Linked DNA regions of Caenorhabditis elegans. The protein of the gene in region 3 purifies or fractionates together with the protein of the main gene of each other region. This does not show direct contact. Each region holds a gene or a part of one and is shown on either strand. Other genes may lie near its edges.

Region 1 (5,366 bases), on a different chromosome or scaffold from region 3:
TGAATGTCCGATGGATATTGGAGAAAAATCAACAAGAAAATGAAAGCGATCCAGACTCTGAAAAATGCTTGAATCAATCCGAAGTCAACGAGAAGAAGAAAACCCAGCTGCTGCGTAACACAACTATTTTAAAAATTGTCACCACTGATGATTTCGAACCGGAATACTGTGAAGCTGTGCACAACTTCGTTGGATCCAGAACATTTAAAAGAATCATTGTCAAGGGTTTCGAGTACACGGAGAATTTGAAAATGATGGTGGAAATGTTTGACAAAGAAGTTGTGGAGATTGAAGTGAACGCACTAACTGACGACTTCATTCCGTTCCCAGATGTGAGTTGTACTTAGAATTTGAGAAAATTTGAATTTTTCGTGTTATGGTTTAAAGAGCGTTCCAAAAAAGTAGGATCATGCAATAAGTTAATAAAAATTCCAATATCCCCTAAAAGTTTTAAATGCAATAACTGAGACGCAATTCAATTTTAAAAGTATAGATTTTTTTTGGCCGACTTCCAATTTTTTTGACCATAATTGCAAACTTTCAAGTTTTTAAAAATAATTTTTTACAATTACATCAAGGCAATTTAGTACTTCATGAGCTGATTTAAATAATTTCCCTACTGAAAATACTCTACATTTTAATTTAAAAATAAATTTAAAATAAACAAGTGTTATGTAGAAGCAATACAAATTTTCAGATCAAAACCATATCCATCCGCGACACTCTCAACAGGGATCACGGAGAACGGCTCTTTTCTGCGAAGCATTTTGTCAACATCAATTGTGCTCTCAACAATATCGACACATTCCGAAAAGCTCTTCGTGATTGGGATAATGGACACCGAGAAGTTGGTAGATGGGTAATTCTGAAACAATTCACCATCTTCCAAACACCCTTTGGTAGACGTCATCGGCCGAAGACTTCCTTCCGAAAGGGGTATTTGGAGTTTATCAGTGAGCTCAACTCATCACAAATGCCACATGGAGAAATAACCGAATACGTTTTTCACGAGACTAATTAACATGATTCTTAGCGAAAATGAAACCAACTAATCTACTTTTATGAGAAAATTATTTATTTCTTACATTCCCTAAAATTTTCTATATAACAATTTTTCTATAGTTTTTTATAACAGTTTTTTGTAATATTTGTTGTCACTAATTCTTGTTCATCTCAAAAACTATTAGACTCCAACCCGGTTTTTTTTTCACACAGCTCATTCCACTTCTAAGTTATTGTTTTGTTTTGTCAAATCTCCAATTCCCAAGCAAATCTATTATCCAGTCATTCATGTTGATGAAACAATAAACTTTGGTACACTTTTTGTAGATTGGTTTTCGTCATGCATTTTCAGTAGTAAAAAAATCTAAAGCGTGATACATTTACCGCAAAGTAACATTTATGGGTTAATACTGTGGTATAACAAAAATGGCCTCAAACAACCAAATATGTACCACCTATAGTATGCCAACCGGCTTAACATGTGCCTAAATCGATTAAAAAACAAGAAGTAAAAATAGAAATATGCCTAATAAGTTTATAATTAGAACAAATTAATTTCAGCGTTCTGCGAGTGCTGATTTCAGATGAATTTGATTTTTTCTTTTGAAATTTTATATATTCGTTTTGAGTTTTGTTTTACTATATAATGTCGAGATTTGATTTTTCTAGGAAATTGATAAAAATATTTAGGTTCAAATTAAAGTATATAAAAAAGCAAGATCTAAAAAAACTCGCAGAAAACGCGCTCTTTTAATTTTTGTCTTATTACTAAAATTTTCAGCTGAATTAGTTTCCATTTAATATTTGAAACCTTTTAAAATACTTCTAAAAGTTGAAAATTATTAAGAAAAACAAAAATTTCACGAAAAACAAAACAAAACATTGATGCCCTACTTTCTCTGGCCTTATACGTGGCAAGGCTTGCAGCTCGCTTTGGCTGGCAGGACACGTGTAACTTTTGCACTCTCATTTTTTTCACAGTTTTGTAAACAAAATCTCTTTTTAGTTTCTTTTTTCTCTCTTTTAACCGTTTTTTTTTGCTATTCCTCTTTTAATCTGCCTTTTGCGCATTTACACTGTACTTAACTTTTTGCCGTTCGTTCGCTCTTCTTCCCATGCATAACACTTGCCATTCCTCCTTTTTTCCCACACAAACAACAACTATCGATTTCTGGTATTCCAATCTTCTGTTGTTTTTTTTTGTTTTCTCTCTTACCAGTCTCTTCATTCTGGTTAGCATCTATCTCAAACTGTTATAAACCCTATAAAAAGTGCGCGCGCGTACCTTTCTCTTTTACCACTGACTGTTTCACATTTTGAATCAAATAACAATTGAACGTAGTTGCAGCGATTGGTGATGTTGAGAGCGCCAGCTGCCGAATCGAACAAGGATGTGATTTTGGAGGTGTTGAGAAGATTCGCAACATCTGGAAAGAAAGTAAGTTTTTAAAAAATGTGTTTCACATTTTTTTAAAATGAAAACATTAACGATATATATATATTTTTTTTTTTCAGGTGTTCGAGCTAGCTTCTGGAACTGGACAGCATATGGAACATTTTGCACGGGCTCTGCCGGATGTCACTTTTCAACCGACTGAAGTTAATGGTCGATACCTCCATTCCATCGTTTCTTATTTGGATCAAAGTCAGGTTAGTCAGCAGTTAGTTGCCCTGCCCAAATTTCCACTTTTCACAATAGCAAAAAAGAGATAATACTTGAATTAAAATGACTGCATTTTTCCACACTCCTGTTGAAAAACCTTTAAAAAATTTTAATTGCCAGCAATTGACAGAATGTTTTAACAAAAAACCACACTCCAGACTGTTGGGGTGAACAATAATTCTAAACTAATTTTTGATTTCTCTTTTTTTACAACTTTTTATGAAAACTCAACTTTATGTTTTTGTAACCATAAAGTAATATTTTTCAGTTTCCAAACGTCCGCATCCCCCTCTTCATCGACGTTGCAAAACCATTCAATCAATGGGCTCTTCCTGCGGATTTCGGACCTCATATGGTAAATTGTTTCCAGACTATATTGGAAAATAACTTCGTTTTTTTTCAGGTCGACATTGTTCTCAATATCAACATGATTCACATTTGCTCCACGGCTGCAGTTAAAGGCCTTTTTCAAGTAAGTTTTTTTTTTTGATAAATGTCAAAGGTGAAATACGAATTTCAAAAATAGTAGGATAAATTTCAATGGGACTGAATTTTTTCTTCAAGTTGCAAATAATTTTGAAATAAAAACAAATTTTATCACATCAAATTCAAACACTTCTGAACTAATTTAACCTTTTTTACAGTCTGCCGACTTGCTTCTTCACGAGACGAACGGAATCCTCATGACTTATGGACCATATGCAGAGGATGGACACATTTCACCACAATCAAACATCGCATTTCATACAAATCTGAAAGCTGAAGATCCGGAACATGGCCTCAAGGATATCAAATATCTGGAGAGGGTAAGGAGATTTTTTTTTAAAGTTAATCTCGGTTTTATTACCATGAAACTGAACGCTTAGTCAGAATTTTTTTCGAGAATTTAAATATAAATTCATAGTTTATAACATATTGAATTTTCAGCTTGCAAACAGTTCGAACCTCCGTCTTGCCGAAAAGATTACAGTTCCGAAGAATAATTTCATTTTGATCTTTTCCCGTTAAACGCTTGTACTTTTTATTTTCAATCTGTTCTCCTGTACTTGTAATACTTGTAATACGCTAGATTTTCAGCGATGCATGGCCTTGATAACTCCTTTTAACTGCAAATAATATTTGCAATATTACGCTCTTTAATATAATATAAAGCATGTTTGATTTCAATATTCTATGATATATGATGATTTTAAAGCATTTTCAAGTGTAATTAATTTCTCCATTTTCAGGTTGAAGTCGATATTAACAGTTGTCTTTTTGAAATGGATTCCAAATTGCTATTTAAAAATTTTATTCAAATATTTTACCTATTGGAAAATAATTACTCTTTTCAAGAAACCATTTTCGAACTTCCTCAAGAAACGTTTCAAGTATTGAAGCAGGTGTTTTGCCACCTTCATGTTATGTTTCTTTGACGCAGTTATTTCTGGTCTAGTGAGCAGAGCCGATTCTTGGTGTTAATGTGAAGTCATTCTATAACAGTGGAACTAGACATTTCAAAAAGAAGTGCGCGGATGTCAAATTAAAAAAAAAACTTAAAAAAAAAAATTTAAAAAAACTCTGGAATTAAGAAAAGATTGACTATATGGGTGATTGTACGGATATTTTAATGCTTTAAGAATATTTGATTGGCATTACAGAAATAGATTTTGTTCGTTCTGCTGAATTTAAAATTGCAGCTGAACCCAGCAGCATCTAAGCACAATTACTAATTTTGCTTGTTTGTATGTTTCGATTTGCTATCACCAAATAGTTTGCGCGTGTGATTTTTATTTTTTTATTTTTAAGCGTTTCATTATTTTTTTTTAAAGTTTTATCATCTATCATTTTGTGACAAGTAAAACTTTGTCTGGTTTATCTGATCTGACCAGAAATCGCACAAACGGGTAATAATCCTTTTAGCTTAAAAGTATGAACATTTCAATGTCGCTCGAGTAAGATCAAAAAATCAATCTAAGAAAAAATAGCGCTCAACAATAAAAAGTATTTTTATATTTATTTACTTCATTTTATTTACGATCAGCTTTTCTTTTAAATTTGAATTTCATTTATTTGTGTGCAAGCTGCTAAAAAAGTTTCTTGATGCATTAAAAAACAATTGATTTCAATATTCATATTACAAGTGCGTGGAAACTTCTGGTTTTTTTTTCAGTTTGTGTGATTTGTAACAAGTATACAACAAATGTTTATAGGCAATTTTCCAGTTAAAACATCTGCTAGGAGATCAACAAAAAGTTCAACAGCCGGAAAATTGGAATTCTTGGTTTCCCAGCGTGATTTGTGTCGAATATTGAAGCTACATTAATGAGCACCTTCGATATTGGAGATGGTAAGTAGTTTTTCTGTGTATTTCTGAATTGATGTTCCAGCTAATTTGTGAAGTTTCGGCAGCTCAAAAACTAAATCCTTCTTTTAAATGTTGTAGCCTACGGGTTTTTTACCGTCTTCGACAAAATTGAGCTATGTCTCATCGGATTCAGAATCATACATCATACATGAATCATACATGAATAAACATCGGTACATAAATACGAATTTTGTGCAAAACCCCAGGCGTTCTGTTTTACACTTATTAGATGTCAAAGTGAAAAGTTCAACCAACCATAAACTTTGGAAAGTGTAAAATTTAAAAAAAAAACGTGTCTATACCCCATCAACTGTATATGAAAGATTCTTACTGATAAAATATCTCATCGTGAAA
Region 2 (9,091 bases), 1.3 Mb from region 3:
TTATTCCCATCTGCTTCGTTTTGAGGAAGAGCTGCTGCTCGAAGAGCCACCAGAAGCTGAAGAAGCCTGTTGCTGTGCAATCTTTGCATTCAATTCATCCACTTTCTTTTTCCATTCTGGTCTTGGATCTGATGCTACTTGCTGTGGAAGATTTGAAGATTCATTTGTAGGTCGTTGAAATGTTGTTTGGAATGATTTCTGAAATGCACTTTTGAGCATTTGGGCTCTATTGGCTCCGGAAGCTGGGCCACTGCTTGAAGAGGAGGAGGAAGAGGATGACGTGGCAAAGCTGAAAATTCGATTTTTATGTTAAATGTGGTGGGGTGGATGAAATTATTTTTTTAAATACTGTCATTTATTAGAAATTTTTTTTGTTGAATTTTTTGGAAATTGTTGAATTATTTTTTTAATTCCTATTCTATTTAAAACTCAATTTCCCACATTTTTAAACATGCTCCGTATAAAAAACTTGATAATTTCTCTGAAAAATTTCCTAAAAATCAATAATTTAAACTTTGTCGCGTAAAACTTCTGAAAATTTGATTGACTATGTTTGAAATCAATTATCAAACAAAAAAATTTAAGAGAACCAAATTTTATAGCCGAAAACCCCCAAAAATGTCGAAATTAGGCCATTTTTTGCGGGAATTCAAAGATAAATCAGCCCGTTTTTGTGGGAAAATTGAAAAAAAATCGTAAAAAATTTAGAATTTAGATTAACACTTATATTTGGCTATTTCGGTCTATTTTCAATTTTTTGAAGTGCAAATAACTCTTTTTGAATTAAAAAATGATTTTCTTTCTTTTTCGAAATATAGTTCAAAATTTTTGCCACTTTTTTCTTTTTTTTAGTAAAAAATTTATTTTTTTTCTTCAGCACCAACGGTGTCGGTTTTTCGAATTTTGAAAACCGATAATTTTCGTTTTATTTCTAATTTCCGATATTTAGTAAAATTTTCCGATTTTTAAAAAAAATCTTAACATTTTGATCTCTTTTCTCCTAAATTTTTATGTGTTTTTTTCTTATCAATATAAAATAAAATTAGATGAAAATTTTTAAAAATATTTTATGGTTAATTCTCTGAATTTTTTTATTTTAATTTTTCGGAACATCAAATACTCAAAAATTGTTAGTTTTTCGATTTCCCTTCAAAAAAATGGAAAAACGACACATTTCTTTAATTTTCAAAATATAATTTTTCGATTTTCCGGAAAATCCGTAAACTACAATTTTTACATTTTCCTTGTCTCGGTAGCTATTTTTTTTATTAAAAAATTAATTAAAAATTTATACCTTTGTGCATTTCTGATCATTCCATCAACTGTCTGATTCCCTCCACCTCTACAACTTTTTTGCTCTTTTAATGGATCAAATTGTGCTCCAGTGGCACCTCCTCCAACTTGTCTAACTTTTGGTGTATATCCAAGACCCATTCTTCCACGTGTCTGTGTTCCAGTACTTGGTCCTCCATTCCCAGCTCTTTGTCCTCTAAACCATGAACTCTTCATTGCAAGATCCATTAAAGGTTTTGGTACTTCTTGTGATACACTTTCCAGATTTTTGACCAAATGTCCGACCATTTCAATGTCTTTTTCAGTAACAAGAGTGTATGCTGTTCCTTTGTGACCAGCTCTTCCAGTTCTTCCAATTCGATGAACATGAGTATCGATGTCACGAGCCATATCGAAATTGATTACGGTTCGAATTTCAGAAATATCCAGTCCGCGTGCTGAAAATTTAATTTTTTGATCGGAAAATTAGGGAAAATTGATTAAAAACCTTAGATTTTAGATTTTTAGAACTTTAAAAATTTTTTTACGGTTTCCAAAATTTTCAAAAACTTGAAAATCGCCAATTTTTAAATGTTTTTATTGGAGAAAATATTTGTTTTTTTTTTCCTATTTTTTTCCGAAAAAATATATTCAATTTTTTAAAAAAAATTTCAATAAATCGAGCAATTTTTCTCGACTTTTCGATGTAAAAAAAAACGAAACTTTAAAAGATTTTTAGGAAATTTTTCAAAAAGTCAAAATATTTTTATTTTTGTTCCCGAATTTCGTTTTTTTTTTCAATCAGATTTTTTGGTTAAAAATCTATATTTTTTTCTTTTTTTCCGAAAAAAAATTAATTTTTTTGGAGAAATCTCAATAAATCGAGCAATTTTTCTCGACATTTCAATGTAAAAAAAAAACGAAAATTTTAGATTTTTTCATAAATTTGCTAAAATTTTGAAAAAAGTCAAAATATTTCAATTTTTGTTGTCTTAATTTTTATTAAAATTTAATTGTGTTAAAAAATCCCGAATTTCATTTTTTTTGTATTTTTTTCTGATTTTCCTGTTAAAAATCTATACTTTCTTTCGTTCCAAAAATAATTTCAATTAAAAAATTGGGCGATTCTTTTTCAATTTTTTCAATTAAAAAAAATTCTCAATATCCGGTTCTTTTTTGATTTTTGTTAACATTTTTTATTTTAGACAACCGAAAATAGGATTTTTGATTTTACAAAAAAATAAATTAATTCACTTTTTACAGAAATATACTTTTTCGTTATTTTTTTTCACATTTTTTAAATTAAAATATTATATTTTTAAGATTTTTGGAATTTTCGAACTTCAAAAAAAAATTCCCAGTAAAACTATTACCTGCCACATCAGTTGCCACGAGAATTTGCGATTTTTTCCGGAATTTCAATAAATTTTCATTTCTCTCTGCTTGTAGCATATCTCCATGTAGAAGGACAATGTCGAAATCTTTCATTTTCAACTTTTTCGCGACGTCTTCCGAATCCAATTTTTTCGTGACAAAAATTAGCACTTTTCCGACTGAAAAATGGTTTAAATTATGGAAAATTTGATAATAATAAAAATCTTACGAGAAGCAAATTCCACTAAATTTCGAATAAGCCAATGCAATTTAACATCTTGATTTTGCATTACAAAAACTTTTTGTTCAATATCAGCATTCGCTTCTCCAACTTCTCCTTGTACAATTCGTACGGGATCTACGAGAGCATCTCGGGCGAGTCGTTCCACTTTTTGTTTAAAAGTCGCACTGAACATTAAGCATTGACGATCCGGGCGGACGTGATCGGATATTGATTTTACTTGAGCCTCTGGAATAATGGAAATTCGATTTTTTTTTTCAAATTTTCATCTTTTTTTTTTTGATAATTGTATATTTAATTGCTGTGAATTTAGTAACCAAGGAATTCCAAAAAATTCCAAAAAAAAAAACAAGCTTTGTGGTTTTTTTTTCAAAGAAAAATTTGGCTTTAACGGTTTTTAAGGTTTTTTTTCAAAAATTATTCATTTGAATTTGCTACGTGTTAAGATGAAAAATGTTACGGCAACGAATCCATAATCGAGCCATTTTTCTGGTTTAAAAACTCTCACAAAACTCAATGTTTTTGGTTCGAAATTTTTCGTCGCGGTCATGTTTCGATTTACGAGGCTCGTGGTGGGCAAACGACTTTTTCCGGCAAATCGGCAAATTGCCGGAATTGAATTTTCCGGCACTTTGACGGGATTGAAAATTTCCGGCAAATCGACAATTTTCCGAAAATGAAAATTTCCAGCAAATCGGCAAACTGCCGGAATCGAAAATTTCCGGCAAATCGGCAAATTGCCGGAATTGAAAATTTATGGCAAATCGGCAAATTGCCGGAATTGAAGTTTCGGGAAAATCGGTAATTTTGTTGAAATGGAAAAATTCCGGCAAATCGGCAAGTTGCCGGAATTGAAAATTTCCGGCAAACCGACAAATTGCCGGAATTTAAAAGTTCCGGCAAATCGGAAGATTGCCGGAATTTGAAATTTCCGGCAAATTACCGGAATTAAAATTTCGGGAAAGTCGGCAATTTTGCCGAAAAGGAAAATTTCCGGCAAATCGGCAATTTTAAATTTGTCGGTTTCCACTGGCTCGTGTACTCCTCGAGGAGGAAATTCAATTCGGGAAAATACACGAGCTGCGTAAATCGACATACGGCCATTTCTATAAGTTTTTTTCAAAAAAATATACCAAATCCCATATCAAACATGCGATCAGCTTCATCAAAAACTAAAAAAGTTGTCCGCAGGAAATTGGTGGCTCCCATCTTCACTAAATCGATGATTCGACCCTGGAAAAGCCTTTTGAAATTTAAAAATAAATATTTTTCTCAACTAACCGGTGTACAAACAACCATTTCAGCTCCTTCATTCTGTAATTCATTTGATTGTTCCCATTTACTACCTCCACCATATGCACAAATTGGATTAATATTGTAAACTTTGCAGAATTTTTTGGCCTCTTGGAATACCTGGAAAATTTATTTTTTATATTTCAAGTTTTTTGGTTGAATTTCCAAAAACCTGAATTGCCAATTCTCTCGTCGGAACCACAATAACTGCAACCGGGCCTTCTCCAGCCTTCAAATCGGGTTGATCCATAATATGAACGATTGCAGGCCACAAATAGGCCGCAGTCTTTCCTGATCCGGTTTTGGCAATTCCTAGAACATCTCTTCCAGATAATGCAGAGGGGATCGCCTGAAAATGTTAATTTTTTTGTCGATAAATTACAGATCGTCGATTTGCCGGAAATTTTGATTTTCGGAAAATTGTCGGTTTGCCGGAAATTTTCAATTCCGGCAAGGAAACATTCATAGGATGCGTACAATTTTGCCGATTAAAATTGAATTATTCCGTGACAATGTGCAAACCCACAGTTTGCCGAAAATCGAAATTTCCGGCAAATCGGCAAAAAAATCTGAAAAATCAATATTCACCATGGCCTGAATCGGAGTCGGCTGCTCATATTCACTCTTCCGAATTGCTTCCATTAACAGCTTATCAAATGAAAAATGAGCAAACGAGCAAACTGGACGTGGCGGCTTGAGGCCTCCAACTCGAAGATTCATTGTATTTTGAAGGCGAATTACATCCATATAGTGTAAGCGTCTGAAAATTTCTTGATTGATAATAGAAATTTTGCTCCAAAACTACGGTAACCGGTCTCGAAACGACTTGTTAAATGCAAAAAAGTGTGTGCGCCTTTAAAGAATACTGTAATTTCAAACTTCTATTGCTGTGGAATTTTTTTAATCGATTTTTCATAGTTTATGAAAAATCGATAAAAAATTCCACAGTAATTAACGTCTACAGTACTCTATAAAAGCGCACGAACTTTTTTTGTAATCAGCAAAAATGTCGCGTCGAGACCCAATTTTTTTCAGAAAATGCACAGAATTGGCTTATTTCAACATGATAATCGAACTTTTTCGATTTAAAATTGATATAAAAATGTAGAAAGCGAGGTTTTCTATCTGAAAATAATATTTATTTTTGTTGACAAACTTGAAAATTACCGTTCGCTGAAATTTTTTTAACGGCACCATTTGAGGTATTTTTCAAGATTTTCATCAAAAATAAATGTTATTTTCAGATAGAAAACCTTGTTTCCTACATTTTTATATCAGTTTTAGTTCGAAAAAGTTCGATTATTCTGTTGAAATAAGCCAATTTTGTGAATTTGCCGCGAAAAAAAATGTCTTATCCTGAACCCACTTAATATCCTCATGCTCCTCATAAAAGTTTTTATTAAACTTTTGATATTGAATCTGTGAATGATCGATATCTGGCAATGGATCGATAACCTTTTTCCATGACCAAATAATATTTCCATCTTCATCATATTCCAATTGCTCATCATCATTTTCGTGTTTCTCTTTGTACTCTTCCATGAATCTGGAAAACTTTTATATTGTTTAATATTTGATTTTAAATTCATGAATTAATTCAAAATTTCCTGTACAAACTTGAATAGAGATTCCTGCATATCCTCCTCATCAATATCTGCTCTTCCAAGCCCTTTTTTACTCGGATCCTCCGTATCTTTTCCCTCTTTCCGATCTTTCTCTTTTTGCTCCGAAACTTTTTTATCACTGGAAGCCTGCTTTTCGATTCCGGCCATAAATGCGTCGAGCTCATCTTCTTCATCATCGTCATCGGCGGCAAGTTTTGAGGAGGAAGAAGCGGGCTTTTCATCATCTGAGCCGCCTTCTAAATATCTAAATTTGAAATTATTAATTTTCTTTTTTTTTTTTTGAAAAAAAAACCTACTCATCATCATAAATCCGTTTCCTTCTTGATTGTTTCTCAGACGTCGAGCCATAAGCCATAAGATTTGCGTACTAAATTAATAATAATCCAGTGAAAAGTTGAAAATTTTTAATTTTTTCATGAAAACTAAAAACCTCTTGTTCCTTCTTCATTTCTTGCTCTTTTCGATTTGACAAGAGAATATTCCGATTTGGTGGTGGAACAGGCGCATTTCCGACTGTTAAAGCTGCAGGAGGAGGTACATTATTCATACTTTTACCATCTGAGAACAATAAAATTCATTTAATACGTGAAAATATCGATTTACCACTCAAACTGGAGGTTCCCGAACTCTTTGCGCTTACAAATCGATTTTGATATCCTCCTGAATATTTTCCACGCCACATTTTTGCCTGAAAACATAATAAATTTTGTTTATTTTGGAGGAAAATGATGTTTAAACATGTTTAAAAAGTCGTTTAATCGCAGTCACAGGGAGAATGTGGGCGTGGCCTTCGCTTGCAACACGCCGCGCGCATTTCGCAACGCTGCCGCACGTAGTTTATGTATTGCTGAATTGTTGAAGTACGTAACTACAGTAAGAAAATCATTTTTTCCACATTGAAATATTTCAAAAAAAAAAGAGAGAAAATATTATATTTTGAAATTATAAGAAATGTGGGTAGAAAACACAAAAACTATGACCTTAAGGTCGCACGAGAAAATTATTAAAAATAATTACAACGGAAAAACTACGAGAAAATTACCCTTTCACCATGAAAAAAAAACAATTTTTATTTTCTCCCGCGACTTTAAGTTCACAAAAGTTTTAAAATATTAGCGTGGCACACTAATCCATTAGTTAAACTCTAAGCTCTTGCTATATAAGGGGCAGAAATACGGTTTTCAAATCAGTACGAAGTTTTGGAAACTTCTAATCTTCTGGCAGTGGCAGTGGGGAGCAGTTGGCCCGTGGATGGCCTGTGGGTGGCCTGTGGATGTCCTGTGGATGTCCTGTGGATGGTCAGTGCATGGTCGGTGGTGGGATGTTGCCGAACAACCAGCGGCATCAATGGTCGTGTCGGAAGCCGAGGCCTCGGACGAAAAACACGTGGATCCGGATGGAATGGACAGGATCGGGTGGTAGCAGCGGACAGTGACCAATATTGAAACGTAAGTTCGAATGCTACTTTTCAGACATTTCTGAAATAACTTTAACAAGAACGAAGACGTACGCTAACTATATGTTAACTCGTCTTTTTGTTTTGAAATTTGAAGTAATTTTGAATACAACAGTGGCAAAAGTTAACTGAGTGAGCAATTATTCTTTGTTTTTTGAAATTAAAAAGTGTGCATAACAGTTCCTAAACAATTCGAATTTCAGCGTGGCACACTGAGAATGTGAGGAGTCATGGAGCACGTTGATGAGGGTGGAGCTGGAACGATCGGTTGGACACTGGAGTAAGCTGATAGGCTTTAAAAGGTAATTTTTAGAAATGAAACAATTTTGAAAATAGTAACTGCGAGAAAAAACCATTTCACGCAGAATTTAATTATTTAAAACACACATTAGTTCCTAAACAATACCAGTTTTCAGAGTGGCACAATAAACGGATGGGCGGTCAGGCATGTCGTCGAGCAAGCAGCGAAGCGATACCACTTTGGACTGGGAACCGAGGAGCATGTGGATGAGGCTGGAATGGCCGGGTAGCTGCAGAGGACAGTGGTCAAGAATAGAATGTGAGTTTATCAGTTATTTTTCAGAAAAATGTTTAATAAGAATGAAGACGAGAGCTATACTTAGCTATTGGTTAATTTGTCGTTTTGTTTTGAAATTTGGAGAGCATTTTGAATACAACAATGACAAAAGTTAATTGAGTTAGCAATTCGTCTTTATGTTTAGAAATTGAAAAAGTTTAAATAAAAAACTGCGCGAGAAAGTGTACATAATAGTTCCAAAACAATTAGAATTTCAGGATGACACAATAAACTGATGGATACTGGATGAGTAGAGGGACCTCGAGAAACGTAGCGACTGAAAGATGGGGCGGGGGCAGTGGAGAACGTGGATCAGGATAGATTGGAGCGATCGGGACGGTGTGCAAATGGCAATGGAGTCAGTCAAGGATGGACTTTAGTCCAACAAAGGTAACGAGGGTTTGAAATGATTTTGAAAAAAAAGTAAAATAAAATTTTTGATGAAAATTAAAGACACTAATAAAATATTATTTTTTATTCGTCTTTTCCAAATCAGTGTGTCCATTTTTAAAGTGTCTACTGGAAGCTTCATTTTTTGAATTCCATAAATTAAAATTTCATTTCCAAATCAGTGTGTCCACTTTTAAAGTGTCCACTGGAAGCTTCATTTTTTGAACTCCAGAAATTTAAGTTTCATTTCCAAATCAGTGTCCCGTGGTGGAAAAATTTTTTTTTCCTTTTTTTTGGGATGAAAAAATTCGCAAAAAAAATTTTTCATCCCAGAAAAAAAAGGGGGAAAAAAGGTTCAGAAAAAACAAACAAACATTTTTGTCGCTGGATGGACTTTAGTCCAACAAAGGTAACGAGGGTTTGAAATGATTTTGAAAAAAAAGTAAAATAAAATTTTTGATGAAAATTAAAGACACTAATAAAAATATTATTTTTATTCGTCTTTTAATTTTACAAAATTTTCAATAAAAATTTAAGACACTAATAAAAATATTATTTTTATTCGTCTTATAATTTTAGAAAATTTTCAATAAAAATTTAAGACACTAATAAAATATTATTTTTATTCGTCTTTTAATTTTAGAAAATTTTCAATAAAAATTAAAGACACTAATAAAAATATGATTTTTATTCGTCTTATAATTTTAGAAAATTTTCAATAAAAATTTAAGACACTAATAAAATATTATTTTTATTCGTCTTTTAATTTTAGAAAATTTTCAATAAAAATTAAAGACACTAATAAAAATATGATTTTTATTCGTCTTTTAATTTTAGAAAATTTTCAATAAAAATTAAAGACA
Region 3 (7,611 bases):
TACACCTGAAAGTGCGCAAAATTCGAATTCCTCGTAAAATTTCAGTCTCGGGCGTCCGAAACCAAAAGTACGCAAACACCGACGACTACAGTACCCCCGGAAACACCGAATTTCACGCGATTTTCGAATTTTGAGCTGAAAAATCATGGGTAGACTAGGAAAATGGCGAGGAATTCGAATTTGATTCTAAAATTTTGCAGAAATTACTCTGAATCATACCAACGAAATTCCGAAATTTCGAACGTTTTTCGTTTAAAATCTGAAATTTTAGACAAAAAGCGTGAAAATTCGAGAGTTTTCGTGAAAAAAATTGGGAGAAAACTGAATTTTCAGCCAAAATTAGCTCGAAATCCGAAAAAATTAGATATTTAATCGAAAAATTGAAAATCGGCAATTTTTTGAAGAAAATTTTTTAAATTTCAGCTGAAAAATTGAGTTTTTACGTGAAAAAATTTGCAAAAAATTGAAAATAGCTCAATTTTTCCAAAATTTTTCAAATTTTGAGCCCATTTTTCAGGATCATCAACTCCTCCGCCCACACACACACGCCCCGCCTCCAACTCCATCTCGCTCCGCCCCCTCGTCGCCATCGTCGAAAAAATGTGAAATTTCTTCTTCGCTAAAAACGAGTAAATCGGCAAAAGCTTCATCTCTATCGAAACTGGATGATGGAATTATTCGAGTTTCAGAAATTGCAGACGAAGAAGATGATGATGACGTCACTATGATGAGGGGTCCACCGTCGAAAATGCGACGATTTTTTGGATATATGAAAAAAATGGTTTGGGGGAAGTAGTAATAAAGTTTTTTTTGAGATTTTTTAGACGTTTTTAGACGCGAAAATTGGCTGAAAATTGAGGCTTTTGACCGAAAATTTGCAAAAATCGAATTTTTTGGCCGAAAATTTTCATTTTTCGCAAAAAAATCACCCAAAAACTGATTTTTTTTTGTTGAGTTTTTTACAGAAAAAATTCAAATTTTGAGAATTTTGAGCTAAAAATTTGGGCAATTTTTACGGAGAAATGCTCAAAAAAATGAATTTTATGTTAAAAATCGAGTTTTTTCGCTTAAAAAAGTGAAAATTCCGCCAAATTTCAAATATTTTCCAGCTAAAAACTTTGTTTTTGGACTATTTTTTGGCTAAAAAATCCAGTTTTCACATTAAAAATTGCCGAAAATTTGAATTTTTGGGTCAAAAATCGCTGAAAAAGCAAATTTTCCACCTAAAAACCTCGAAAAATGCTCATTTTCCCCAATTTTCCCCCCGTCAAATTTTGAATAATTATCAACATTTTTCCTGGTATTTAAATTCACTGTCGGTCTCTCTATTTTTCCCCCATTTTTCCACTTTTCACCCCATTTCTCACTAGTTTGTATCATTTTTTGTGCTCCGAGCTTTCGATTCTTTGCTCTTTTACTCGAAGATCATCATCCATCCAATTTTTGTTCACTTTTACCGGCTCGCGGAGCACATTTTTCGGCATTTTTGGCCATTTTTTTGTTGGAATTTTTGAGAAAATTTCACAAAAATTGAAGAATTTTAAGCTAAAAAAGTGGAAATTTCAGCGAAAATATGGATTATTTTTACTGATTTTATCACTGAAAAATTCAGAAAAATTGGGATTTTCTAGGATTTTTTCACTGAAAAACTTGAAAAAATCCCACAAATTCTGGAATTTTCACTGATTTTTTTTCTGGAAATTTGAACAATTTTCAGCCAAAAACTGAAATTTTCCTGAAATTTCTCTAAAAATTTTGGCGAAAATTCAAATTTTCAGTTGAAAAACCAATTTTTCTGAAAAATTTCGCTTTTTTCTCCAATAAAAATGACCCAAAAATTCCAATTTTTTTTTTCAAAAATTTGTAAAATTTACTCGATTTCTCTCATTTGTTCTTTATTTATTATTAACTAAAATATCACAAATTTCTTATAACTATTCACCTCCCAATCCATCCATCTTATCCTAATTATTTGATTTTTTTTGTGAAAAAATAAGAATTTGAACATTTTCAGCTATTTTTTTGCTGTGATTTTTGACGTTTTTTTCGTCCATTTTTACCTTTTTTTTTGCTTATTTTCAGGGTTTTTTGTCTTTTTTTTAAGTTTTTTAAAGTCGAAAATTTGAATTTTTAATGATTTTCAAACAAATTTTCGATTTTTTTTCGTTGAAAAATTAAAAAAAAACTAGTTTTTCAAAAAAAAAATTTTTTTTTAATCAAAAGTTTTGAATTTTACCCTTTTTTTTCCAGGTTTCTGACGATTTTAACCAGAATTTCTGAAAATTTTAAGCATTTTTTAATGAAAAATTCTAATTTCGCTTCAATTTCAGCCCAAATTTAATTAAAAATCCATTTTTTACAGGCTTGTGATGGCAAAACATCATCCAGATTTGATTTTTTGCCGAAAACAGCCCGGAATTGCCATTGGAAGACTCTGTGAGAAGTGTAAGTTTAGAAAAATTATTGATTTTTCGCCTATAAACTACCGAAAAATTCAATTTTCCAGTGTAAAATTGGAATAATGTATCGATTTTCCTCGAAAAATCACTACAAATTCAACTTTTCTCTATAAGTTCCGAAATATCAAAAAAAAATTGATTTTTTTTTGAAAATTTAAATTTCCGATTATTTAAAAAAAAAGTAAACATTTCAAGCTAAAACTTTTAAAAAAAATTATTTTCTGATTATTTTCTGAAGAAAAATCGAAAAATGTGAAATTCTTAACCGAAAATGTAAAAAAGTTATCGATTTTAGTAGGAACATTCCTGAAAATTTAATTTTTCCTATTTAAAATTTATAAAAATTGGTGTTTATTGGCGAGAAATTCGAAAAAATAGTCTATTTTACAAGAAAAAACACTCAAAAAATTCAATTTTTGCAGGCGATGGTCGTTGTGTGATTTGTGATTCACATGTTCGTCCATGTACATTGGTTCGTATCTGTGAAGAGTGTAATTATGGATCATATCAGGTACAAAACACGCGGAGATCTACTGAAAAATGCTCAAAAATGAGTCGAAAATCATTGAAAATCCCGTTTTAAAATACAAAAATACAGTGAAAACTCGCAGAAATACGAAAAAATCGGAAAAATTTTGCAAATTTTGTTGTTTTTTGGGAAGTTTCCACCAAAAATCAACTGATGGCCGAACTCTTTGGATTTCTAGGCCATTGAAAACTGATTTTTCTCAAATTTTCAGTTAGAAATTGTGTTTCTCACCAATTTTCACCCCTAGAAGTTGTGTTTTTTTTTTGCGCAAGATAATTTGGTGGCCTAACTTTTGGGATTTCTAGGCCACCAATATGACAATGATGGTTTCAAGCCGTTTTTATCCTTTTTTTTAGAAGTTTTATTTGAAATAATGACAATAAAAACGATTTTAACTTGAAAATCGTGAAGTTTTCAGTTTAAATTCCTAGAATCCCCTAAAAATCTATGTTTTTTCCGTATAAACCAAATTCTATTCAGTTTTTGGATTTGATATCAATTGGTGGTTGAACTCTTTGGATTTCTAGGCCACCAATTATCTGAACTTTTTTCCCCTGTGACTCTTGTGCCTCTATTCGTATTGATTGCAGTAAAAACGGGTATTTATTCACATTTTCAGCCTTAAATCAGCTGAAAATGTGAATAAATACCGTATTTCTGCCAACAATTTGACAATAGAGCACATTTGTCACTCGGAGATGCGGAAGCTATGCCCAAATTTTCATTTTTCCCGAAAAACTTGTAATTTTTTACGGTTTTTCATTAATTTTTTTTTAATTTTTGAGGCTTTTTTTTGGCGAAGAGTCGCTTTTTAATCGAATTTTGAATATAAAAACTGAATTCTATGTGGTTTTTGGATTTAAAATCATTCGGTGGCCGAACTCTTTGGATTTCTAGGCCACAAAATTTTTGAACTATTTTCCCCTGTGACTTATGTGCCTCTACTCGTTTTTTTTTGTTTGCACTAAAAACTGTATTTATTCACATTTTCATCCTCAAATTGGGCTGAAAATGTGAATAAATACCGTATTTCTGCCAACAATTTGACAATAGAGCACATTTGTCACTCGGAGATGCGGAAGCTATGCCCAAATTTTCACTTTTCACCCGAAAACTTGTGAATTTTCACGAAAATTGAAATTTTTTGATGTTCCAAGTAGATTTTCGGATGAATTTTCGCAATTTTAGCTTTAAAATGCCAAAAATTTGGAATTCTTTAAGAAAAAAATATTTTAAAGTGCCGATTTACGCCGTAAATCGACACTACAATATTATCAATAATGTGCTGCGTGCGCATAAAACAAATACACTTAATCTGTGTATATTGCTGCGTCTTTGACCCCTCTTTTCCTTCGATAAAAATGGTAAAAATATCGATTTTTCGGTTTTTTCCTTGTTTTTTATGGAAAATTTGAATTTTTAAAGAAAAAATTGGTAAAAAACGCTGAAAATTCACTGGAAAAATGTGTTTTTAGCGAAAAAAAATGCCTCGAAATATAAATTTTTAATTTTTAATCTGAAAATTCCCGTGAAAAATGGGAAAATTTTCGAATTTTTCATGTTTTTTCGACTAAAAAGTCGAAAATTTTGTGAAATTTCTCGAAAAAATTGAAGTTTTCTCAATTTTCCAGCTTTTCCCCCTCAAAATGCTCCAATTTTCAGGATATTTTCATATATATTTTTTTTTTTTTTTTTTTTTTTTTTAAATTGTGAAAAACGTTGAAAAGTTCACTTTGGAAAAAGAAAAATATGGAAAAATTCAAATTTTCCACTAAAAATTGACATTATTTGCGGAAATTACCAGCTTTTCGGCGTAAAAAACGCTAAATTTGTCAGTTTTCCGCAAAAAATGCTCGAAAATCCAAAATTTTGTGAAATTTCTCTCAAAAAACGCGTGAAAAACGCTATTCAAAAAAGTGCAATTTTCAGCTTTTTTTTACTAATTTTTTCTTTAAAAAATTCAAATTTTTGACTGGATTTCTTCAAATTCTCCATTAAAAACGGGTTTTTACTCAGAAAAGAGGGGAAAAACCAGGAAAATTGAAAAATTTTCATATTTTTCGACTGAAAAATGCAAAATTTTGTGAAATTTCTCTCAAAAAACGAGTGAAAAACGGCAAAATTTACAAATTTTTCTAAAAAAAAATCGGAAAAACGCGAAATTTTCATGTTTTTTTTCGGCTAAAAATTAAAATTTCCATTTTTTTTTTTGCAGGGTCGGTGTGTGATTTGTGGTGGCGCTGGCGTCAGTGATGCATATTATTGCAAAGAATGCACAATTCTCGAAAAGGATCGTGACGGATGCCCGAAAATTGTGAATTTGGGAAGTGCGAAGACGGATTTGTTCTACGAACGAAAGAAATTCGGATCGAAAAAGTCGTAGAAATTGGCTTTTTGGCGGCGAAAATGAGCGAAAAATCACAAAATTTCGCCGAATTTTCACCTATATCACCTCTAATTTATCAAAAATGTTCCAATTTTCTGTTAATTTCCACTTTTTTCCGCTGAAAATTCCTATTTTTCTTGAAATCTGACTGAAATTTGGCTAAAAATGAGCTGGAAATATCGAAATTTGGCTGAAATCGTAAAATTCCCTTTTTGTTCCCTGAAAATTGAGCAAAAATGTCAAAATTTTGGCATTTTTGACCAAATTTTGCCTATTTTTGTGAAAATTTGCCTTTTTTTTTCGTTGTTTTTATCGAAATTTTGCTGAAATCGCGATTTTTTCCACTATTTTTCCCTAAAACATCCCTTTTTTACTGGAAATTTGGGCAACATTTTGGCATTTTTGCCTATTTTTGTGAAAATGTTACCATTTTATTGAAAAATTAGCTTAAAATGACAATATTTTCCTAAAAATTTCGAATTTCCGTGAAAAATAGCCAAAATGTCACTTATTTCAGTTAAAAATATGCCATTTCCCTGAAATTTGGCTGAAAATTCGCCTATTTTCACTTAAAATTCCGCAAAAAGCCCTTTTTTTCACTCAAAATGTTCAATTTTTCCCTGAAATTTGCCTGAAAAATCGATATTTTCACTCATTTTCACCTTAAAAATTGTCTTTTTCCCCCATTTTTTCCAATTTTCCTCTACCCTTTTATCAATTTTCGAATAAATTATCGATTTTTCTGTAATTTTTCCCTTTTTTTGCTGTGTTGTGCTGGTTTTGTTACCTATTTGTGTATATTTATCTCTATTTTTTACGGGAATTTTCAGTTTTCCCCGAATTTTTCTGAATTAAAATCACTAAAAATCGATTTTTCTTCCTGAAAATTGGGTAATTTTGCGAGAAATTTAATTTTTGTTTAAAAAAAAACTAAAATCTGAATATTTTTTGGAGAAAATTAACCAAAAACTTGAAATTTTATGAAAAAAAAATGGAAAAATTTCAGATAAATGCGTCGACAAGGCAGCGAAGAAGTTGAAGCTGTACAGCAATTTTTAAATGCTTTCGGGTTTCATGATAGAGGTAATTGGATTGAATTTTAGAAGAAAAAACACCGAAAAAGCCGAAAAATTGACTGAAAAATCGAATTTCTGACGAAAAAATGAGATTTTCCATAAAATATCAATAATTTCAAGTAAATATTCGAATTTCGAGGGGTACGGTAGCACCAAAAGTACGCAAACACTGTGGTACACCAAATCTTACGACATTTTGCAGAAAAACTCCTGAAATTATAATAAGAGTTCAGATTTTTTTCATCAAAAGAATATATTGGTGGCCGAACTCCTTGGATTTTTTTAGGCCACGATTTTCTGAGCCAAAAATTTTATTTTGAATTTTTCGTTCAAATCTCGTTTTTTACTAGAGAAACTCCAATTTCGGCTTTTTTTCTCTTGGTTGCCTAACTTTTTTTTTAGATTTCTAGGCCACCCATTAAAAATAGACCGTTTTATTTGATTTTCTACATAAAAACGGGGATTTTGAATTTTGAATAATTCAAATTTTAAAACCAAAATTTTAATTTTAAGTCTTTTTTTTTTTTGAGATATTTGAAATTTTCTAGACGGTTTTTTGGTGATGAATCGGTTTTTATTAGAATTTCAACTATAAAAACCGAATTCTAGTCAGTTTTTGGATTTAAAATCAATTGGTGGCCGAACTTGTTGGATTTCTAGGCTACCAAACTTCTGAACATTTTCCCCTGTGACTCTTGTGCCTCTATTCGTATTGATTGCAGTAAAAACGGGTATTTATTCACATTTTTAGCCTTAAATTGGCTTAAAATGTGAATAAATACCGTATTTCTGCAAACAATTTGACAATAGAGCACATTTGTCACTTGGAGATGCGGAAGCTATGCCCAAATTTTCATTTTCAAGCCGAAAAACTTGTGAATTTTCGCGATTTTTGCACAAAAAAAACCATTTTCAGCCGATTTTTCCGTAGAAAAACGGATTTTTAATCAAAATTTTGCAATTTTCTGTATTTCAGATGTGATAAAAGTTCAAGAAGGGCTATTCCACAGCCGTCAGCTCAACGATGTGAACGCTTCGAGAACATGTGTAGATCAATTTGTTAAGAAATGTATGAAATTCCAGGGAAAAAACCAAAAAAAAAAGCGGCAGTTTTCCAGGCGAACTTCGTGATCCGAACGGAATAAAACCGCTTCGCAAAAA
Region 4 (9,315 bases), 1.9 Mb from region 3:
TGATTTCCCAAGCAAATGAATTGCCTAATTTCGAAATTTCTGCATTTTCTGGACATACAATTGTGCGGAAATTCAAATATAATTTCAGCTGTTTTTTTTTTGGAAAATTCATGAAAATCATCTAAAAATTGGACATTGCTTAAAATCTTCGAATTTTACCAACATTTCCATGTCGCAAATTAATTTTTATTTAATAACTTTTTTATTTTGCGTATTTTCAGTGAAAATTGTCCAGATTATCGTTCCAATCATCAGAAAATGCAAAAGAGAGAAAAAAACGTGCAAAAGTAAATAATTAAATAAAAATTAATTCATCAACACGGAAGTTGAGAAATTACACGGAAGTTGAGAAATTGGAGAATTTAGTTCATCGAAGTTTATTTTCGAATTTTTAATCCATCAAAACCGGTCTATTGAGGTAATTTGAGTATTTTAACTTTACTTTAATTTTAATTTTTCAGTATTTTAATGAATAATTCTGTGCCCTATCCATTACGAACCGGATCACAATGCGGACATTTGTCGATCGTGTGATACACGACTTTAGCATTCCATGTCATCTTCTGTGCCTCGTGAAGTCCAAGTTGTAGCTCATTTTCAGGCGGTGGTTCAGTGGTTGCTCTCCGTTGACTTGAGTTATTGCTGCTGCTGGGTCCAGCTATTTCGAACGCCATCCCCGTGGATCCACACCGCCTTCACGGACCAAAGCAGCACCTGCGCTTTTGAACGAAGATTTTCGAAATTCTTTTGCTCACTTGGAAGGGATGACTGAAAAAAATCGATTTTTTGAGAAAAACTAATTTTCAGAGAATTTAATTATTACAAAGACGCGAACATTTGTACAAAAAATACGGTAACCGGTCTCGACGCGACAATTTTAGTTCAATGCAAAAATGTGTTTAACAAAAATATCGTAGCTGCATAATTTTCATAGATTTTGTTCAAATTTTAAGTATTTTAATATTTGTATGAGTAAATATATTTTTGAGATAAAATCGATGAAAATTCTGTGCAAACAAAAGTTTTTCGATTAGAAAAATAAAAATTGAAAGAAGATTATGAAAAATCGATGAAAATTCCGTAACAAAGAGATTCTTAAACTACAGTAATCCTTAAAGGCGCACACCATTTTTGCATTTAATACACATTTGTCGTTTCGAGACCAGCCACTGTACTGTTGCTGCAAAAAGCGCAAAATTTTCGTTTTTAAGGAACTAATATTGAAAGAATTTGTAAAATTTCTTTTTTAAAGATAATTTTGCCAAAAATAAAATTAGAAAATTATTTTTATATTTGGAGAGTATTAGGAAACTCTGATATTTTTTAAGGTATTTAAAAAATTTTTAAACGAGAAAAAATAAGCGAAATTTGACTTCAACAAAAAAAAAGGGATTTCTTTAAAACATTAAAATAATTTGACAAGTCTTCATTTTAAATATCTATCGCAAGAGTTGTTGTTGTTTTTTTTTTTGGGAATAAATTGATTGATATTGGAGAAAAGTAATAGAAAAACAAAAAAAAACCACTGACAACCAAAACAATTTTGTTAGATTAATCTAGATTCAAGAGAATATTTGGAGGGAAATGGGATTAAAATATAAAAGGTTTCGTTTTCTATGAAAATGTGATGAAAGGAGGGAGGGAACACGGAGATAGAAAAATAAGTTATCGAGATCCAAATAAAAAAAACAAAAATTAGAAAATTATTTAAAGATTATAATCAAGTTCGTAGCGGACATATTGATTTGTTGGGGTGTTCTCGATACGTGGATAGGCGGCAATAAGAGCATCTGCGGAGCCAAGAATTAGGTTGTTGAAGACCTGGAAATATTAATATGAAATTACATAAAAATTTAGCGCTTGTGGAAAAAACGTCTCAATATTCCGAATACAAATTTTAAAAAATTTATAGAAATTTTCTAATCTTTTTTTAAATTTTGCGGAAAATTTGAGAAGTACCAAAACATTTTTGAATTCCCGCGCAACCTGTATTTAATTTTTTCCTTTTTCAATTTTTCCGGTCGCTCACTTTTGGTCGAAAAAAAAGAAGATATTTCACAATAAAAATAAATTTTCTCTGAAAAATAAAAATTCAATTGAAAAAAATCATTAAAAAATTAGAAACATTCTATAAATATTTTAAAAGCTATATTCCGAATATTTCCACTATTTCTGTAATTGAAAATTCAAGGAAACTAAAATAATTACCTTCCACACTGGTTCTCGAACTTTTCTCGCTGGATGCCAAAGAGCTTGCAGGCAATATTGAAGAACCTGAAATGAATTTTAATTTTTGAAATTATTAAGAATTTAAAATAAAAACCTTAATAGGTCCCAACGAAACTCGCATTCCTTCACATGCAAACACCCATCGTTGAATAAGATGCGGTGAGTTTTCCAACATATTGGGCCACACATAATTCAATAAATGAATAAGTGCATCTTCACAACCAAATCCATAAACTCCAATAGCAAGATGAGCAACTGCGTCGACTGCAATCTGACGATGAACTTGATCTCTTTCCATTAATGCATCAATGAGCAGCGGAACAACTGCATAAATGTAGTCTTTTGCCATTTCTCCAATGTATTCGAACATGAATGAAAGAGCTTTTAAAACTCCGTTTTGTACATTAATTTCAGGTACACGATACTCGTTCATAATTGCTGGAAGTACTGTAAATGGGGCACAAGTTTCCGAAACAATGGCAATGGCGACTGTTGTACACACACGGAGCTGGCGTTCTTGGACCTGAAAAATAATTTATTTTAAAAGAATCACTTCTAATCCGAGCCTACCTTCAAATTATTGAGCAACGTTGCGAGAACATCATGTGGTCCGATAGCTTTTGCAATAAATCCAAATGTATTAATTGCAGCTCTTCGAATACTTTTCTTGTGAGCTTTAAGCAATTCGAGAAGCTCGAAACAGATTCTCATCCATTCTCTTGCAGATACAAATTCAGATCCTCTATCAGCGATTGCTCCCACCAAATCGATACAGTTCTCCTGCACTTTCTCGTGACGATTCTTCAAAATTGGTGTCAATCTTGGCAGCAAATCTTTGATTGGTGGAGTCATTTTGGTCATTCCAATAACATTGCAAATTGCTTTCAATGCACCGAGAATTGATCCAAGTACTTCTGGATATTCTTCTCCCAAATACTCATACAATACTACTCCCATGTGTCCCATCATTTTCTCCTCTTCACACATATGCATAACCGGTGCAATTCTGGCAATTAAATCAGCAGCTTGTTGACGAACTTTTGCAGATTTGTTGTTGAGACGCCACAGAATAGTACCACAGATTTGTGGGATATATGCCTTGGCACGTCGTCCAAGACTTGAGCAGATTGTTCCAAAACCATCAAGCATCACAGAATCTTCTTGAGTTTGTTCCTGGAAAGCATAAAGAAGACCATCAATCAGTTGTTCTTCAAGTCGAGCATCAATATCAGTCGCTCCTTGCAACGCTACAATATTCTCAATTGTTTCCATAACCATTTTTCTGTATTGCTCATTTTCATCCTTCAAATCATCAACAATTCGAGCAATCATCTCAACGCATCCGACTTTTTGAGCAATTTCCACAGTTGTATCAACCAATTGGCGATAGTTACGACGATCCATAGCCATTCTTTGATTCCAGAATGCTTTGAAGAAGCTTGGAAGTACTTCGTCTCGAATGTAACTCGCTTCTACTCCGTCTGTTGCACAACACTGCTTGACAACCTGCAAATTTAAATGTTAAACGATAGTTCTACGAATGTTTTGGTTATTATATCACTCACCTTTAAAACAATCTTTTTCATTTCCTCATCTGGCGATGCAAACTCGCGAATCAAAATGAGCATCACTTCTCTTGTATAATATGAAGCATATTCTGCGTCCATCAATGGAATCAGGTAACCAATAGCTTTAAGGAATGCAGCAAGACCTTTTCCACGATGCATACGAATACCTTTCCAAAGAGGTTTCAACACTGAATCGAAAGCTTCAATTCCGTATGGAGATGAAGCTTCGGCGAGAGCTGCCAAGCAGAGAGCAGTGATAGTTCGGACCTGAAACGATTTGCATCAATTCCAGAAACTTTAGAAATTAAAAAGAAAACCTTTTGCTGTTCATCATCCAATCCGCTTTCAACAATATCAACAAGTGCTTTCAAATGTGGTAATACTGCACAACCCATCAAAATGGCCATTTGTTGAACAATTTTAATACCCGTGTGCCGAGCCTGCCAACTTTTTTTACTTTTGCACACAGCTTTAAGGAATGGGAGGAGAGCTGGAATTCCGAGAGCTGAGGCGACGACAGCGAATGCACGAGCGGTTGTATTACGGACATATCTGCAAATTTTTGGGTTTGATTAAAAGCTTTGTGATGTTTTTTCTGCTTTAAATTCATTAAAACTGACCCGCAAATACCGAATTTCATAGTGAGATTTTTAAAAATCTAAAAAATACATTTTTAAAACTTTTTTTGAAAAAATTCGGTCTTTTCGGACTTTTTTAAATTAAAAACTAGTGTAAACCTATAGAAAATCACTTGATTAATCTGAAATTAACATTAATTTCAGCTGGAACGTTTCAGAAAGTTCTCAAAAATGGCCAAAAGTTGCCAGATTTTCTATAGTTTCAAACTAATTTTTAATATTTCTTCAATTTTTTTACTGTTTTCCAGGGAAAATTGAACAACCATATATTTGGTGTTTGTTTAATTGAAAAATCAACAAAACTGTCGACAAACTTACTCATCAACATTATCAATATCAGGCCTCATTGTAGAAATCATTGTTGCCAATCCAGCGGCCTTTGCAAGGTTGGAAATGATCTCACGACCTGAAAATATTTAATTTTTAAATTTTAAAATTTATTCTAAATTTTCAAACCTTCAACTCTTGCATAATAATCCTCATCGATAAGAAGTGGCTCAATGACGACAAGAATCTTATGCACATATGGTCTGACGAGATCATCCAATTTGTATAGAATTCGATCAATAACTTTTACCATCAAATGCCGTTCTTGATCCTCCAGCGATGGTGACATGAGAAGTGGAAGAATTTGATTGAAAAGTGGACCTGCTCCGTACTTTCGCGCGTTTTCTGTTATTTTTCTCAATCCGCTCTTTCTCATTGGCGGGGTTCCATTTTTGATTTTCAATAAATGCTCCATAATTTCCCGTTCATTTTTCTCTTCTTTCGTGAGTTGACTCTCATCTACATCCATCAACAACTTATCGAAATATTGCATATCATCTGGCTTTAGAGGTGGTAATTCTGCATTCTTAGGTTGAGTATCCACCAGACCACCGACTCCTTTCTCTCCGATTCCATCTCTATCTGGTGTTCCAGGCATAAAGAATCCTCCACCAGCAGCTCCACCCATTGGAGTTGGAGTGGCCATCAACTTCCGTGATGGTGTTCTCAGAGGAATGTAGTTCATTGGAGGAACCAGAACCTTGTAGCCAGGTGGGAATAGTGAATCGAGTTCTTCATCAGTCAATGGACGGTTTCTGTCATCAATTTCCTTCTCCCATCGGTAAATTTGCATTTGTTCAGGTGTCATTGGAATCATATGAGGAGCTGGTGTTTTCATTCCCATTGCTGCCGTTCCAATTGGAGTTGCTCCACCTGAATATATTTTATATTAATTTTATATTAATTACAATATTTTGTAATAAACCTGGAGTCATTGCTCCGATTGGAGTCTGTGAAGGGTGGCTCGGTGTGAATGATGGTGTCTGTAATCCGGAATGAAGTGGAGTAGCTGCTGCCACATTCGGAGTTTGTGATGGTGTCAGATCCCATCGTGAACGACGCTTCGATGCGGATGGAGTATCCTCAATCTTAACATCATCTGATCCTCCTCTAGCAGGAGTCTCCATTCCCCATCCCGGTGTCATTGATCCATCATTGAGATTCTCTTTTGGAGTTTCATCCCAACGATTTCTTCTCGGGGTCTGTGCTGCCGGAGTCGTTGACCATTTATCCACAGAAGGAGTTGCATCAGCTGCTCCAGTCGAGTGAGCCGGTGTTTCATCCCATCTAGCAGCTCTTGGTGTTGCTGCATCTGCACTAATCTTCGAAAATCCTAATCTTTTTCGTGGAGCAGAACCCTGAGATGGAGTTGCAGAAGCTGCACCAAGATTATCAGAAGATGCATCAGTTGATGGAGCTTCAGCATCCCATCTTCCTTTCTTTTTCTCTGGCTGTCCAGTAACATGAAGCTCTCCAGCTTTTGCTCGATCGGCAAGCTCCCGTTCAACACGCCCTTTCTCTTCATGGTACATCTGATCACGCATAACTTCTGCGTAACCTCGATTCCGATTGTCAGGAGTTTGATCAACTGAAAGAATAAATTTAATTAAAGTCAAAATGATTTTCGATCTTACCAAAAGCATCCGCTCTGTCTGGAGAGATCTGTCTCCTCATAGCTCTTTCGTGATACTTGGATTGTCGTTCTGCGATGGTTTTTGTGCGAGTATCTGCGAATGGATCAGTGTCCTCGGAGGCAGCAGCCACCTCTTCGATGAATTTGTGTGGCTGTGCATAATTTGTACTTTTCTTTTGTACACTCGGCATCGAATCCTCATCGACGTCATCTTCTTCTCCGGTTCCAATCGAGTCTAGGTAACTATCCCGATTTTCACCACGAACACTTCCGTAAACATCCTGAAATTGAAAAGATTCAAAAAGTAATAGAGAATTTTCAAATTTTCAAATAAAGTATTAGAATTCACTAACCGTGTCGAAATTACCAGCGGCTCCGAAGGCCACTTTATTTCCGTTTCCCTTATTCTCATCGTTGTCTTCGGCTGCCGCGGCACGCTGGTTTGCGACCCTTTTGCGGTTCAACTCCTGCGCATAAGCCTCGCCTGAACGAGACATCGATCTACAATCAATATTGATTATATGGAAGAAAGATTAAAGTTGGAAGGAAAAAAACTTTTTTTAGAAAAGATTTAGAAAACAACATCCTAAACTTCGATAGCTTGCGCGAAACCATTTTCAAATTGTAATAAACAATTGCAAAAATTTATTAATGAAATCACTAAAAAGAAATGGAAACCATAATCCTTTTACAATGAACAATATTCAAAGAAATACACTCAAGAAACTAAAATATTAATACCCTTGAAAAATAATGGATTATCTTACGAATTTTTATGAACATCAGACAGACAACAATATTTAAAGTTTTTCTGTTGTTTTTTTTTAAATAATTTAAAAGTTTTTAAACGTAAAATAACTGAAAACTGTCCCTTAAAAGGCGAAAATTGCATTCGAAATTTTGCACGAGAATCGCGTCAATGCACCGGTCGCGCGCCAACAGCACCTGCTGGCGCGCTCTCCGATCAGTGGAGGAAGATCGAAGATTGTGTTCACTTCAAGAGTTTTGACATTTCATTTGGAATATGGTGAGTTGCTCGTTTTAGTAGGTCTTTTCTGTTTTTTGTTGTTTTTTAGTGTTTCTTTCGACGTATATCGACTTTATAAGCAAATTTCCAATAAAATTGTGAACTTTTTTAAAAATTAATTTTTTTTCACCAACATTGTGGCCACTTTAAAATTGAAGCATAACTAAAATGTTCTTATTTTTAAATTTTTATTTAAAATAAAAGCTTTCTTATTTTTTTAAGTGGTTTTATCATGTTTTTGCTTTCTCGTTCTTATAGAGAGAGAGAGAGAGAGAAGAGACGCAGAATACTGGGGCAGCATATAGCATGTGTGTTGTTTAGATGTCTCCTTGCCCCTACAACCCTTTTCTATCGATTTCCCCGTTTTTTTCGGTCTGCCACGTGCTTCTTTTTCAGTTCATGCCTTTTCTCCTTTTATGAGATTCTTTTTTCCCCAACAAAATCTTATCGAAAATTTCAGGGTAAAGTCTGAAAATGGCTCCGAACAAGGCTGCCGCTGAAGAGTATCCAGTGGATATTGTGGATTTAAGTGATGATTTTAAGAGTAGCAAGACTCTTGATTTGGTCCTAGACGAGGAGCACAAAGTCTACAGATATTGGATTCATTTGAAGTGTATGAAATGGTCAGTTTTACTTCTAAACGATAAATTGTTCACTTTTCTGGAAAAAACGCTGAATTTTGGCTTTATGGTTAAAAAAAAACATAATTTTTAAGAAGTTGAAACTACAGTACTCTTTATTGTCGTTTCGAGAAACCGTATTTTTGCACGGAAATCGATCAACGTTGCTTCTGAGAAATAATATAATCCCATAACAAAACTGAATTGTCAGGCAAATTGAGTTGCGTGCAAATTCCTTCGAATGCTTTGCTGCTTACTTCAAAACTCCAGCCACCTGGTCAGCGGAAGTTGAATTCGAAATTCGGGCTCACGTTACAAACTCTGTGAGAAGCGAAAAGTTTACTGGACGATATACAGGATCCAATCATGTCTACTTTCGTCCATTGAAGCTTCAAGATCATATGGTTCGAGAGAAGCTGAGAAGTATGAGAGTAGAAATCACAGTGAATGTCATTAAAACTATGAACTTCGGAATGCTCTACGACTATTTTGATGTTCTACCAGAAGAAGAGAATGCTTTGTTGAAAGTTGAAGATCGTCTTATTCGTGTGAATAAAAGATATCTGTCAATGATGTCTCCATTCTTTAAAGCATTATTCTATGGAGAATTGGGTGAAGATAAAGAAATCTATGAGATGAAAGAGAAGTTCCGTGAGATTATAACTTTCCTCAGATGTATTTATCCACACAGACAACCTGTTACAAGTATGTTCCACAATTTTGAGAATCGAATTATTATCAAATTTGCAGAGAAAAGCCTCGACTATCTTCTCCAACTCGCAGATCGTTATCAATGTCAACCAATTGTGGATGCGTGTGAGATGTTCATGTGTGCACATTATCATGAATATCAGAAGAAGACGGAGAAATGTTTCTCTTACGTGGAAAAGTATAAGATGCAAAGAGTTTTGGTACGTTCAAACGTGGACTTGTGGGGAATTTACTATGAATTGCTCCCGGTATCTACAACAAGCGTGGGCGGCAAATCTTCTGCAAAACTTACAAAACTGTTTGTTTCAATGTTATAATTCATTATATTGAATGAATGAAAAACTGGTATAGAAATGAAGAAAATGGGTTGTACCATCGGAAAAAATATTAATTTGAGTTTAAAATTTTGAAAAACACCTCAACTAGTACTCGAAAGCTATCATTTGCCAAAAACTTTTTAACTGGAAACGGCAACTTTAACGCAGTATTTGAAGTGCTTTTCAAATAGTTTAGAGCAAAAATAAACATTATTTTCAGATTGAACGAATAGTTTTCTACATTT

The links.
Region 1: the proteins of phf-5 (region 3) and Y26E6A.3 fractionate together in Caenorhabditis elegans (co-fractionation; one large-scale study listed by BioGRID). This does not show direct contact.
Region 2: the proteins of phf-5 (region 3) and C46F11.4 fractionate together in Caenorhabditis elegans (co-fractionation; one large-scale study listed by BioGRID). This does not show direct contact.
Region 4: the proteins of phf-5 (region 3) and sftb-1 fractionate together in Caenorhabditis elegans (co-fractionation; one large-scale study listed by BioGRID). This does not show direct contact.

What each region holds. Positions count from the first base shown.
Region 1 is NC_003284.9:13,906,880-13,912,245, reverse strand, and holds Y26E6A.3 (Methyltransferase-like 26), read left to right. Parts: upstream 1-2,295; 5' UTR 2,296-2,359; coding exon 2,360-2,440; intron 2,441-2,517; coding exon 2,518-2,652; intron 2,653-2,933; coding exon 2,934-3,020; intron 3,021-3,068; coding exon 3,069-3,137; intron 3,138-3,309; coding exon 3,310-3,471; intron 3,472-3,592; coding exon 3,593-3,673; 3' UTR 3,674-3,875; downstream 3,876-5,366. Other genes in the region: Y26E6A.2 (F-box domain-containing protein), read left to right, coding at 1-332, 698-1,021.
Region 2 is NC_003281.10:3,657,812-3,666,902, forward strand, and holds the start of C46F11.4 (RNA helicase), read right to left. Parts: upstream 6,494-9,091; 5' UTR 6,488-6,493; coding exon 6,409-6,487; intron 6,364-6,408; coding exon 6,236-6,363; intron 6,173-6,235; coding exon 6,102-6,172; intron 6,050-6,101; coding exon 5,798-6,049; intron 5,727-5,797; coding exon 5,547-5,726; intron 4,941-5,546; coding exon 4,769-4,940; intron 4,530-4,768; coding exon 4,353-4,529; intron 4,301-4,352; coding exon 4,169-4,300; intron 4,121-4,168; coding exon 4,021-4,120; intron 3,116-4,020; coding exon 2,876-3,115; intron 2,826-2,875; coding exon 2,646-2,825; intron 1,731-2,645; coding exon 1,295-1,730; intron 290-1,294; coding exon 1-289.
Region 3 is NC_003281.10:2,341,211-2,348,821, forward strand, and holds phf-5 (PHD finger-like domain-containing protein 5A), read left to right. Parts: upstream 1-2,362; 5' UTR 2,363-2,369; coding exon 2,370-2,445; intron 2,446-2,881; coding exon 2,882-2,970; intron 2,971-5,203; coding exon 5,204-5,371; 3' UTR 5,372-6,119; downstream 6,120-7,611. Other genes in the region: ppm-1.D (PPM-type phosphatase domain-containing protein), read left to right, coding at 518-796; gip-1 (Gamma tubulin complex component protein N-terminal domain-containing protein), read left to right, coding at 6,385-6,457, 7,427-7,519, 7,569-7,611.
Region 4 is NC_003281.10:4,262,375-4,271,689, forward strand, and holds sftb-1 (Splicing factor 3B subunit 1 domain-containing protein), read right to left. Parts: upstream 6,897-9,315; 5' UTR 6,893-6,896; coding exon 6,749-6,892; intron 6,677-6,748; coding exon 6,397-6,676; intron 6,351-6,396; coding exon 5,688-6,350; intron 5,636-5,687; coding exon 4,892-5,635; intron 4,842-4,891; coding exon 4,754-4,841; intron 4,350-4,753; coding exon 4,115-4,349; intron 4,065-4,114; coding exon 3,795-4,064; intron 3,736-3,794; coding exon 2,800-3,735; intron 2,753-2,799; coding exon 2,324-2,752; intron 2,275-2,323; coding exon 2,209-2,274; intron 1,822-2,208; coding exon 1,708-1,821; 3' UTR 1,409-1,707; downstream 1-1,408. Other genes in the region: depd-5 (DEP domain-containing protein), read right to left, coding at 501-674; R10E4.1 (BTB domain-containing protein), read left to right, coding at 7,897-8,045, 8,254-8,747, 8,793-8,953.